Linked DNA regions of Drosophila melanogaster. The gene in region 2 interacts genetically with the main gene of each other region. Each region holds a gene or a part of one and is shown on either strand. Other genes may lie near its edges.

Region 1 (3,246 bases), on a different chromosome or scaffold from region 2:
ACTTCTTACATGGCTGGCCTCTGTACTCATCCAAAATTACGTTCAGATTCCTACTGTAGTTACGCACATCCGTGAACGGTTCCTTGAGCACTCCAAAGTCCTTCAAGTGGCCATGCATGAGCAGCATCAGGCTATTTCGGGCCAACTTCTCGCTGAGAGGAGCCTTCTCGAATATCTTTATCCATCTGGCCATGATGGGGCGATCCGACTGCTTAGCCCTTGCCTGATCGGCATACTTGTAACTGGCTAGCTGCTGCCTGAAATGGCGATCCAGTAACTCCTCGCTTAGATCCTTCATGGCCACATTCGCATATTCAACCGGAATCAACTGATTTTGTTCCCAAAAAATATTTGTAATTTTAATGATTTGAATAAAATGAAACCGCTTACTCAAATCGGGTAAGGAAATGCGGAAATATAAGTGGGACTAGTGGCCTTACTCGGCGACTGTCACCAAACGTCTCTCAACCGCAGAAAGGGGAGGGGGGTCAAAAGTGGAGCTCAGGGTTTCTCAGAGATGCTTCAAGTGGTGGGCCCACGTCTGGCAACAAGCACAAGGAGCAGCGACACTACACTTTAAACAAAGAATATCAGAGCTTACTTTTCAAAGAACTTAATGGATTTTCTTGTCGAAACACTCTTACCTGGTGCGTCTCTACACTACGTGGACTAAACTGGACTTCACAGTGATAGCTTTTGCATTTACCACTTCATTTAAGAAAACTGTTGTGTATTAATCTAACAACATGTTACCTCCCACAAATAGTTTAATGTCAGTAATTTGCTTATGGCCATTTCGAAACAATGAATTATTAGTGTAACAGCAGTAGCAACAAAACAGTATGCGGTTGCCACGTAAATTTTCATTAGCGCAGCGCGCGTATAAATTAGGAAAATGAAGCAGCAGCAGCGGCAGCAGGCACTTGAGTGCACCGCAACCTCCATCAAGATGCCCCCTGGTGGGGTGAGTGGGTGGTGGAGTGGGTGGCGGATGGGCGGCTTAACCGCAGCAACAACAACAGCGAATGCGATGCGAACCTACATACATACATACATAGGTGCTGCGGCTTGTGGCGAACTGTGAGCAAAAGTTGCAAACGACCGACTGCCTGCATAAATTTATATTGTTAAACATGAGCTAGAAAAAAGCACGCGCAGCCTGTCAAAAGAAAGCAAAAATAAAGAGCAAAGAAATTGCCTGACATGCAAAAAGCGGTTTGGAAAAAGAGTAAAGTAAATGCATAAAGTACATAGCAAAAATAGAATACCTTCGTATAGAGCTGAGTTCGCAGCAATGCCAAAAAAAGACCTCTTACGCAAAAATATAATATGAAAACACTCTCTATTTTACACAAATGTTAAACATTCAAACAAGTTCATAAACAATAATAAGTTTATGCCCCTCCGTTACTTTACCTAAGTGTTAAGTATAAAGAATTTTACCAACTTCATTGACTATCTGGCAACGTCGCGAGCGTTGTATGTTTTAAAGCTTATTTGGTCACACTAAATCATTGGCATCTTAGCTTTTTTTTTTTTTTTTGATGCACGCGTGTATGCTGTGTATTTTTTTTTTTTTGCTATTTTTAAAATGGATTTCGAGAGCAAATACTGCACCAGTCAAGTAAATGGCACTATTACCATAACTACGCGCAAAGTCCTTGATGAAAATCTAAAATCCTTACTGGATGAGGGAAAGGGCGAGGTGAGTGTCTAGTGAAGCATCTAGTCTCAAAAGTTTACGGAGACACTAATACGTTTTTGCTTCTAGCTGTTTCTCTCGTGTATACCGAGGAATCACAGTTGTTCTCCGCGGTGGATTGTGGAAGTGGCCAGCGAACTGGGTGAAGTTTACATTATGCGCTATAAGATTGATTTTTCGGGAAATTCTCGCGGCTACGCCTACTTGCAATATATCAATGTGGACCTCAAGGAATCGGCAATGCAATAGTACGTACTTCGTAATAATTTTCACATAAAACAGCACTAACCCTAATAATCCCAGTCTGCCAATGCGATTCCGACAGCTTTGCATGTGCTTAAGGGTGGAGCCATCGACCAACAATCGCGAGCTGGTGCTCAAAAACGTAGAATCGTCGCTTAGACCATGGCAAGTGTACCAGGAGATGTTGAAGATACATCCCTTTACCATCGTTCGAGTCTACGAGTATCAATTAGACCAGTTCTTCTATATATTTGAGTACCGCAACAACGACTCGGCCGCAAGTGCCCATCAGAGAGTAAGGAATTCGATCAGAAAATTCGGTGAGCATGCGCACATCTCCTGGTTGACTGCGGAGAACATCTTGAGCAGAGCCAGCGGTAGCTTCTGTTTTCAACGGGAAGTAAGCCAAAATCGTACTCGACGCGTTCCTCCCAGACAAAAGGGCTGTTTCAAGTTTTAAATGGAAGTGGTATCAAGTATGTTACTTTATTGGTTCATGCTACCAAATCCATAAGGCTCCAAATGTTTTGTTTGTACTACACGTAAGTAGGACGAAAATGTATAAAATACTTTAATACTTTAGTTATATTTTTTCTATTGTTAAATAAGTTTATAAGTAAAATAAGAGTACTCTTAAATAAGTCAACCATTTAGATATGAATGAAGATGTTTATTGCTTGATTTGTGTAAGTTTTTGTAATACGTGGAATTTGAAAACAAGAATATGTGTTTTGCAAAGTTAATCTCTGATTTTTTAATGAAATTTTAAAGCCAAATATCAAATCACTTTTAGAATGCATACTATACCTTAAAAAAAAACTAACCAAGCGGATTTTGGAATTCCTGTGGCTCTCTGGGCAGTAAATTATGTTGCTGCCCATGCGAATGTAACATAAACTTTCACCAGTTGTTAGGACAGGGGGAAATTATACACAGCATTGTTCCTGGCAAATCCTTTTGGCCCGCCGCTTCTCACTCTGATGAAATGCAGCCGCAGCTTGTTGACTTCATTAACTCTGGGCAAAAACAGCGAGCAGCCATAAAAATAAAAAAAAATAAAAAAAACAACACCGACAGCGCAGCGAAGCTGCAGTTTTTCACATGCAAATTAATGCAGTGTCTTTGGAGTGGCGGAGTGGCAGCCAGGACTTTCAGGGCAATGCGACAACCTGCGGCATAATGCAATTAAATGAGTGCAGCGAGCAGGAGTCGACGCTAGCCTCCGGCTGGCATTGTGTTGGACACGGTGTCTGGGTACCGGGTCTGACTCCAGATTACGGGTCTCCAAAGTGCAATGATCG
Region 2 (4,596 bases):
TCCGCGTGCTGGCGCAGAGTCGCCGATCTCAGCAGTGCCACGCGATTGGCATTCGGCTGCTCCTGTTTGTGCTTCAGCATGGTGTACTTACTGAACTCCATTGCGAATCGGCAAATGTCGATATTCAGGGCCTGCAGGCGCTCGTAGAGGTCATCGTCCTCTCCGCCCCAGCCGTAATACAGATTGGACATGCCGTTGATCTGCTGGTACTGGGCGGTGTTGATGGCCACCACGCCGCCGAAAAGACCGCGGTAAGGCAGTCGGAATCGCCAGTGATCCAGGGCAGAGCTCATGTGCCGTGGACGTTCGGAGCAGGCATATATTTGACCCGAATTCAGTGGCAGGAGGTCCACGTCATGAAGGATGAGGCAGGGAAATCCATACTCCGCAGCCACCTGGGCGCCAATGTTGAAGAGCATCGCCCTGTTAAACGGCTTATGATCGAACTGTTCGACCAGGAAAATCCGATAGTGGATCAGCTGCTGCGGCAGGTAATTGTGCATGTACGTGAGGAAGGCGTGCAGCTGCTCCTCCCGCTGCCTGTACGGCACAATGATGGCGGTGCTGTAGCGAGCCTGACATCCTTCCGGACGGAACTCGCCGCCAGGACGGATCTCCGCGCCCCTCTGCACCGCGTCATGGTAATGGGCCAGGTGGTAGACGAACCGGTTTTCGGCAATGATCTCCGAGTAGGTGCATTCGAAAACTTCCTGCTGGGAGACATTTCTGGTCACCTGCGGCACCAGAGCCCCCTCGATCTTTGATTCCTCGATGTAGTCGTAGTGCGATGCGAACCGGAAGGGCAGACACAGGTACACGATGAGAGTGATCAGTCCGATGGCGATGAGAAGATCATATTTATGGAAGCTGCGGACCCAGAGCCGCACGAACATTGTTGGCAGGAAAAGTTGACTCAGTGCGATCTTTGGAAACTCCGCATCCTAATTTCGGACGCAATCTTCGCGGCCGGTTGGCGAATAACAGCTGACGACCAGGGACGCAACGCATAAACCAACAGACAGTGAAACTTCACCAGCTCGAATTGTTTTTTTTTTGGTTTATTTTCTCACATAATATTCATTAATTTTTTAAATGGTTTTTACGAACAACTAAAGTCTACTAACCAAAAAGAAAATGTTTATGAAATCAATTTTTAGGATGCCTTTAATACAAAATAGCATAAGAAGTTGTTTTTATAAAAAGTATGCAACCGATTGGGCATCCATGGTTCTTTAAAACGGCATGACTCTACCCCACCCTTATTAATTAAACAATAATTTGATAAAAAGTTGTGTTTACTTATACTAGATTGTTGAGACTTCTATTGATAAGGATGCATAGTTATAAATGTTGACTCATTAAAGAGAAGGTAATTGAACTGAAGAAGGTTGTAGCCATATGTATGTATGGTTAATACATGAGAGACATAATCAAAGTTTTTAATTTATAACATTTAAAATGTCAATCTTTGTTTATTATCGGGTTGTACTGTTCGCTCAACAAGTACGTACTGTATAAACAAAGCAACAGCACTCTGGCAACGCCGTGACAGTTTCCCATCCCTGAACCGGCGAAGAACTCTTGGTTTCCTTTTACAATTTCTTAAACAAATGCACCGGTGGTTTAATTGGCAAAAATGACCTCCATTATCAAGCTGCACACTATATCTGGGGCGATGGACGAGTCCCCGCCATGCTATATCCTACAGATAGACGATGTGCGGATATTACTTGACTGCGGATGGGACGAAAAGTTCGATGCCAACTTTATCAAGGAACTGAAGAGGTGACAATTGTATACATATTTCAGGAAAACAATAACCTAAATATTTTGTGTATTCCCAGGCAGGTGCACACCCTGGACGCCGTGCTGCTATCCCATCCGGATGCATATCATCTTGGAGCCCTGCCATACTTGGTGGGCAAGCTGGGGCTCAATTGCCCCATCTACGCCACCATTCCCGTGTTCAAAATGGGTCAAATGTTTATGTATGACCTTTACATGTCGCACTTCAATATGGGAGACTTCGATCTATTTTCGCTGGACGACGTGGACACGGCTTTCGAAAAGATAACCCAGTTGAAATACAACCAAACAGTTTCACTGAAGGACAAAGGATATGGAATATCCATTACGCCTTTGAACGCTGGACACATGATCGGCGGCACCATCTGGAAGATCGTCAAGGTGGGCGAGGAGGATATTGTGTACGCCACCGACTTCAACCATAAGAAGGAGCGCCACTTAAGTGGCTGCGAGCTGGACAGGCTGCAAAGACCTTCGCTGCTCATTACCGACGCCTACAACGCACAGTACCAGCAGGCCAGAAGGAGGGCCCGCGATGAAAAGCTAATGACCAACATCCTGCAAACGGTGCGTAACAACGGCAATGTCCTGATAGCCGTGGATACGGCAGGACGAGTCCTGGAGTTGGCCCACATGCTGGACCAGCTGTGGAAGAACAAGGAATCTGGGCTAATGGCCTACTCCCTGGCCCTTCTTAACAATGTGAGCTACAACGTGATTGAGTTCGCCAAGTCGCAGATAGAATGGATGAGTGACAAGCTCACGAAGGCTTTCGAAGGTGCCCGCAACAATCCCTTTCAGTTCAAGCACATCCAGCTGTGCCATTCACTGGCGGACGTCTATAAATTGCCCGCTGGTCCAAAAGTGGTGTTGGCCAGTACCCCAGATCTGGAGAGCGGATTCACGAGGGATCTCTTCGTGCAATGGGCCAGCAATGCCAACAATAGCATAATCCTTACTACTCGTACGTCTCCCGGCACTTTAGCCATGGAACTGGTGGAGAACTGCGCACCGGGCAAGCAAATCGAATTGGACGTCAGGCGAAGAGTTGACTTAGAAGGAGCTGAGTTGGAGGAGTACCTACGCACACAGGGCGAGAAACTTAATCCCCTTATCGTAAAGCCCGATGTGGAGGAAGAGAGCAGTTCCGAGTCCGAGGACGACATCGAGATGAGCGTCATCACGGGCAAGCATGATATTGTGGTCAGACCGGAGGGTCGCCATCACTCCGGTTTTTTCAAGTCCAACAAACGACACCACGTGATGTTCCCCTATCACGAGGAAAAGGTGAAGTGCGATGAGTATGGGGAGATCATCAATCTAGACGACTACCGGATTGCGGATGCGACAGGCTATGAGTTTGTACCTATGGAGGAGCAAAACAAGGAGAATGTTAAAAAGGAAGAACCGGGCATAGGAGCAGAACAACAGGCTAACGGAGGAATCGTCGACAATGATGTTCAGTTGCTGGAGAAGCCCACCAAGCTGATAAGCCAACGCAAAACAATCGAGGTGAATGCCCAAGTCCAGAGGATCGATTTCGAAGGTCGCTCTGATGGCGAGTCCATGCTAAAGATCCTCTCCCAGTTGAGGCCACGAAGGGTTATCGTCATACACGGCACTGCCGAAGGCACACAAGTGGTGGCCAGGCACTGCGAACAGAATGTCGGTGCGCGCGTTTTTACTCCGCAGAAGGGGGAAATCATTGATGTCACCAGTGAGATTCACATCTATCAGGTACGCCTGACGGAAGGACTTGTCTCCCAGCTGCAGTTCCAAAAGGGCAAGGACGCGGAGGTGGCGTGGGTGGATGGTCGCCTGGGCATGCGGGTGAAGGCCATCGAAGCACCCATGGACGTAACTGTGGAGCAGGACGCTTCCGTGCAAGAAGGCAAGACATTGACTCTTGAAACACTGGCGGACGATGAGATTCCTATCCACAACTCAGTGCTCATTAACGAGCTGAAACTGTCCGACTTTAAGCAGACTCTCATGCGTAATAACATCAACTCGGAGTTCTCCGGCGGCGTGCTCTGGTGCAGCAACGGAACTCTGGCCTTGAGGCGAGTGGATGCCGGCAAGGTAGCCATGGAGGGATGCTTATCCGAGGAGTACTACAAGATCAGGGAGTTGCTGTACGAGCAGTATGCGATCGTTTAATATTCAAAATGACGTTTGTGTAAGCCCCTAATGTTTTACTTGTTAAGATTAGAAAGTTTTTATATAAGAGAATCAGTTGTACTTTATTGCCTACATAAATTGCAGCATGGGATCTTCTGCCCTTGGCCGCTTCTTCTTCCACTCCTCGATCTCGTCCTCTGTGGGCGCCTTCACATCATACATGCTGTTATAGGCTCGTTTGCGATCGTCCAGTTCCTCGGGAATATCTTTTTCCTTTGTCTTATCTTTGTCCTTGGTCTCCTTGTTCTTGCCTTTTTGTTTTCGCTGCTCCTTAGCCTTCTTTTTCTTCTCGCGCTTCTTCGACTTCTTCTTGGTCTTCTTCTTCTCAGGTTTTACCTCCTCCTCTTCGGATGAGGAGGGTTCCGAACTCGATGCTGAGTCCACTTCGGAAGTGGGCCTTTCAGGTGGCACTTCTGGTACCTTGAATTGGCTTTGAGCTGCAGGTTCTGTAGTAGCCGCTGCAGTGGAGCTCGTAGAATGATGTTCCGAGTAGCCCTCTGGCTCCTGCATGCCCACGCAGTAGGAGTTCTTGATGAAGGACTTGCAGCACTTGTAACCCCAGCGTCCGGCGTTCCAGAAACTGCCCCAAACTGTTGTGTGATTGTTGAT
Region 3 (4,724 bases), on a different chromosome or scaffold from region 2:
GTTGCCGATCTTGATTAGGTGCACCGGCCTGGCGCCCCATTAGTCCATCATCTTTGTTGGATTTCGATCGAGTTTCCCAGCTCCGTTTCCGAATTTGCATTTTGGGTGGTCCTCGATGCGATTTTCACGGCACACGCTGAGATCGAGCTACCGATAAATGGGACAGAATTTTAATAAAGAAGTGCTGAAAATAATACCATTTGTCTAAGCGGTTCCTCCAACAACAGGTACTTTGACTAATTTCTATACATTTAGCGTTACATTACATTAATTACATTAATTTACATTAATTACATTAATTACCATCTACAAAATTCACTAAGCAGTGTAGTACTCTGTGATTTAAGTTGACTATTTGTATTCAAAAAGAAAGTTAGGCATTCTGAACGCATCGCTGCACTTTGTACAGGTGTCTCTAGATCATGTTAATAGTTTGAAATTAAATTAGGTTCAAGTTATTTCAGTTATCATGAACAAGGACTTGAAGACGAAAGGAGCCTGTGTATATAGTAAATATTTAGTAAACTAAATATATTAGTAAATCATTAACACAATTAGTTGGCTTCAATTACCAAACGGCTTCATCTCCTTCGGAATCATTAAATAATACAATGCAAACCGCACTAATGTGGAAGGACCACAAGGTTGAGTTAAACCAAAAAAGTGGAGTGAATGAATATGAGAAAAGGCCAGTAATTGCAATTATACGAGAGATGCATGGAACTATTGCGGTGAGTAATTCAAACGGCATTGTAGGATGGCAGCTATTGCACCGGGCATCCTTTCAGCCAGGATGAGGAGTTCCTGGGGAGGAGCAGCGATGCAGTTGCAATCACCTCCGATTTCCGCCTTTCAATATGGCGCCCAATGCGCATGCCTTTTTGCTGGCATGCGTTTCCGCTGACCAATCAGCACGTTGCTGTCCTCCAGTGCGCCGGTGTGCGTGAGGGCATCTATGTGTGTGTGTGTGTGTGTGTGTGTGTGCGAACAGGTAAGCCGAGGGGGCGTTCTTTCGGTCAACCTGTTTATGCGCTCTCTCGCTCTTTCGCACGCTGCCCCTCTCGCAGTGGCTGTCAAACTGTTGTCGATTGGCACCGTGTGTCAAATTCAATGGCTACACGTTTATAAAAATATTTGTCCAATTAACTTAACTTAACTTAACTTAATTGTAAGCCACTTTAAAAATATATAAAACCATTTTCTAATGTTTTGAAGATACAATAGCATATAATAACGGAAAAATGTACTATGTCTTACTACGAAAACATTAGAATACAATAAAATAAAATAGAATAAAAATAAAAACACTTGTAAAGGCAAGATATTGAAAACAACTAAAACGTAGTGAATTCTGAGTTATCATCAGTTCATATATGTGTAATCATGAACTGTGTGTGCCCAGTGACTTTATAAAAGTCAGTGAATGTAAGTCTCGCTTCACTTGATTCCATTATTTTCCTATAACGTTTTTGGAAAGTGACGCACAAAGTGTCGGTGCATCCCACTGTGCAGTTCACCCCCTTGGTGTTCGCTCACTCACACACTCGCACGACCAGTCGGCCATCTCGCTCTGGCGCACGCACACCGCCAGCGGCACCAACCATTTTCTGCCTTTTGTCTCGGCCGTTTTCGGTTCGATTAGGTTTGAGAACCGGAGAGTTCTCAGTTGTTTTCGAGATTCCGTCGCGTGCGGTTCGCTGCCCGTTCTACCCACGTCGCTCGCTTAGTAATCCAGGCCGGATCCGGCGGTCTTTTGACGTCCCGCGCACAAAGTTATATTTAATTTGCGTGTTTCCTGAATGAACGCATCAGTATCGCGCCACATAAACGCACACGAAGCGAGAGAAAAGCGAGCAAAATTGAGCTAATCAATCCGCGGGCGGCCATTTTTTGTTGGCACTGCCTCAGTGCTGTCGTCGCAGCTTTGCCCACCAAATTTGCAGGTGCAATTTGTCCGAGTCGCGCAGGACAGCGAAGTTTTCGCGAAAAGTAATTTGCAACACGTGTTCGCACAGTGCGTATGAGCAATATTCAACGGCAAGCTTGTGTTAGTTAGTGCCCAGTGTGATCGCGACTAAGAGTGTGTGCGTGCGCGAACGGCACATGGCTTCGATTTGAAGAGTTTGGCCAAAATGCAAATCAAGGAAATGCCGCACAGCCGAAATCAGCGCCTTCTTGGCCAACTCTAACATTTGCGGATATAGCACAAGTCGAATCGGAAAGCCAAGGCAAAAGGCACAAACCCAAACAAAGAGTAACAAACAAAAACTAACAAACTCGGATACGTATCAACAATAAATAATCAAAATACAGGTGAGCAGCGAGATTCAGTTTTCATGCTGCCGACGGCAAAAGTTTACTGTGGAACACTAGAAACCATGGCAAAAATATATGTAGATGCATAAGTAGGACGGATATTCTTTCACAATAAGAAAAACGAATGGTATATGGGGGATTAATTTAAAATAAAATTGGCATTGATACTTGAAAAAGGAGATATAATAACTATGATAAATTTCGGGACGATTATGTGAATAAATATAGCTAATATTAGATTATACATTTCCATATTGGAACCTTAAAATTATAAAACCATAAATATATACAAAAGTTTCAGAAAAATAATAATTTCAATAGGTCAAACTAAGCCTTAGAAGAACTAACCACATGTTCAAGAAATCACTTATCACCTATAGATAAGATCATAGAACATAGACCTTTTATTAAACATCCCATACGGTTAAAATGGAACTTACAGCAAAGCGTTATTCTTGATTAGAAAAGCCTAAAGTTCTCTGAGAAAGTATCAATCACTTTGCCTATTTGAAGACTTCATTTAAAAATATATTTTAGTGCTTTAAATAGCCTTTAAAGCGTGTGCAGCGAAAACATTAATGCAGTCCATAAATGTCACGGCGTATCTCTATCCGCTTTCTAATGGATCAATCTATCATCGAAGTCCATAGATTCACAACGTTTTGCCGATTTCAATGAGGAGAGCTGAGAGCCAAAGTGCACTTCGCTTTTTGGCGGCGTGGCATTGGCGAATTCCAAATGGCCAAAAGCCATCGGAAAACCAACTCGAGGCACTTGAGAAGCAATTCTGAGGGAATCGAAACGAAGGCAAAAGCACGGGAATTGCATGTTCACTTATATTTGGAAAGGAAACTTGTTTACACACCAAAAGAAAAATTCTGTTGTTTTATTCACCGCTCAATTTTTTTCTAAGTTTTCCACGTTTCCAAGTTGGCTACTCAACGGCCCACCCACCTCAGATGTATTTATTAATTAGAGGAAAAGATATGAGATGGATTTGATCCAAAGGAAAAGTAGTTTCCAGTTGTCATTCATTCATCGCAAAGGCTTTCCAACCGTTTGGTGCTCGAAACCAACGCACACAGTGTTTATTTATGAAACCATTTGGCTTTATCATTTCGTTTCTCGCCACAAAATTTATGAAATTATTAACTATAGCGACTGTTTGGCCGACAACTTTTGTACTTCGTGTGAGGATGAGTGGGCGTGGACCCACTTTTGTCCGGCTAAATTCGATATTTGCGATATTCGGGGGATTGGGAGCGTTTAAACGAATTGGCCAACGCGTGTTTGTCGTCAGAAGTCGAATGATTAATTGAGTGCAGAGATGGGAGCAGATGTTGCGTACGGTTCTGGTTGCCTATTTCGGATCATCAAGATACCAGCCATGTGGATTCCATCTCGGAAGTGGCCAAATTGACAAATTTGCGCATTCCATTCGCCTAGATTCGGGACTCGGGCAGAAACAGATACAGATACGCAAGTTTGGCCGCAGCAGCTTTGATCATTTTACGCACCGGCGTGCAGAATCCGTCGTAATTTGGGGACGAGCTCCCCACCGGCGGGACTTTCGACCAGTGCACTTCAGTTTCATTCAAAGTTTGGCAAATGCGGCGCAGCAAGGCGAAAAGCAGCCGACATGCAGATGCAGATACATTCGGCTGCGGAGGCAGAGACACATGTGTGTGCAACCCATTAAATTGACAAATTTCATTCATTGCGCCGCGCTCTATTCGATTTCTTTGTGCGTAGCTCCCTCACGCGGCAATTAAACGGAAAATGTTAAAAATAGTATCTGGCGGATAGCAGCGATTGTCTCGACCGTTTGGCAGCAGCAGCGCTTACTAATCCCGACCAGCGGCCAGAAAGCCGTTCGAATTACCCGGAACGGGGGCTGGCCCACAACAGGTTGCATGGCACACGTCTTCCCAGTCCTCAATCCCCAATCCCCAATCCCCAATCCCCAGTCACAGTCTCAATCCCATTCCCATTCGATTACATTGTATAAACACAGACGCCGGAGCAGATGATTTCGGTGTTAGCCGCGAGAAACAGGCGCACTGTTTGTGCTTTTTGCGATTGCGATGGCACCATGCTCCAAGTTGAGCTGGGTGCTCCTCGAGCTGGGGCACACTTCACCTGCAGAGTTCCCGAAGTGCACTTAGGACTTAGGGCTTTGGAACTGCCCTGCGAGTTGAATCGAATCCATCAACAAGTCAATCGTAAGCTGACTTTGATTACAAACTAATTAGGCGAACAACGCTTGCAGCCACGGCAGCTCGAACAATTCAATTTGATTAACAGCCCAATAGAGTTAGGTGTCCGCTTTCAGATTTCCAGGGATTCCACGACATTCAAATTAAAATCTTATAAAAGTAGGAAGAAGCACAGGGGAAGGGGAATGGGGC

The links. A genetic interaction does not mean that the proteins touch.
Region 1: of Cpsf100 (region 2) and tut, changing one enhances a phenotype caused by changing the other (phenotypic enhancement), as found in Drosophila melanogaster (one study listed by BioGRID).
Region 3: of Cpsf100 (region 2) and so, changing one enhances a phenotype caused by changing the other (phenotypic enhancement), as found in Drosophila melanogaster (one study listed by BioGRID).

The regions. Positions count from the first base shown.
Region 1 is NT_037436.4:8,209,017-8,212,262, reverse strand, and holds tut (tumorous testis), read left to right. Parts: upstream 1-1,519; 5' UTR 1,520-1,591; coding exon 1,592-1,705; intron 1,706-1,771; coding exon 1,772-1,950; intron 1,951-2,005; coding exon 2,006-2,405; 3' UTR 2,406-2,686; downstream 2,687-3,246. Other genes in the region: CG8006 (uncharacterized protein), read right to left, coding at 1-298. UniProt on the Drosophila melanogaster protein: RNA binding protein that forms a complex with bam and bgcn, involved in 3'UTR-dependent regulation of a subset of mRNAs. Preferentially binds a long isoform of mei-P26 transcripts.
Region 2 is NT_033777.3:29,033,027-29,037,622, forward strand, and holds Cpsf100 (cleavage and polyadenylation specificity factor 100), read left to right. Parts: upstream 1-1,546; 5' UTR 1,547-1,636; coding exon 1,637-1,785; intron 1,786-1,844; coding exon 1,845-3,966; 3' UTR 3,967-4,036; downstream 4,037-4,596. Other genes in the region: beta4GalNAcTB (beta1,4-N-acetylgalactosaminyltransferase B), read right to left, coding at 1-893; Slu7, read right to left, coding at 4,057-4,596. UniProt on the Drosophila melanogaster protein: Component of the cleavage and polyadenylation specificity factor (CPSF) complex that plays a key role in pre-mRNA 3'-end formation, recognizing the AAUAAA signal sequence and interacting with poly(A) polymerase and other factors to bring about cleavage and poly(A) addition.
Region 3 is NT_033778.4:7,417,686-7,422,409, forward strand, and holds the start of so (sine oculis), read left to right. Parts: upstream 1-1,664; 5' UTR 1,665-2,313; intron 2,314-4,724. UniProt on the Drosophila melanogaster protein: Required for visual system development. May transcriptionally regulate genes necessary for optic lobe invagination and Bolwig's nerve formation.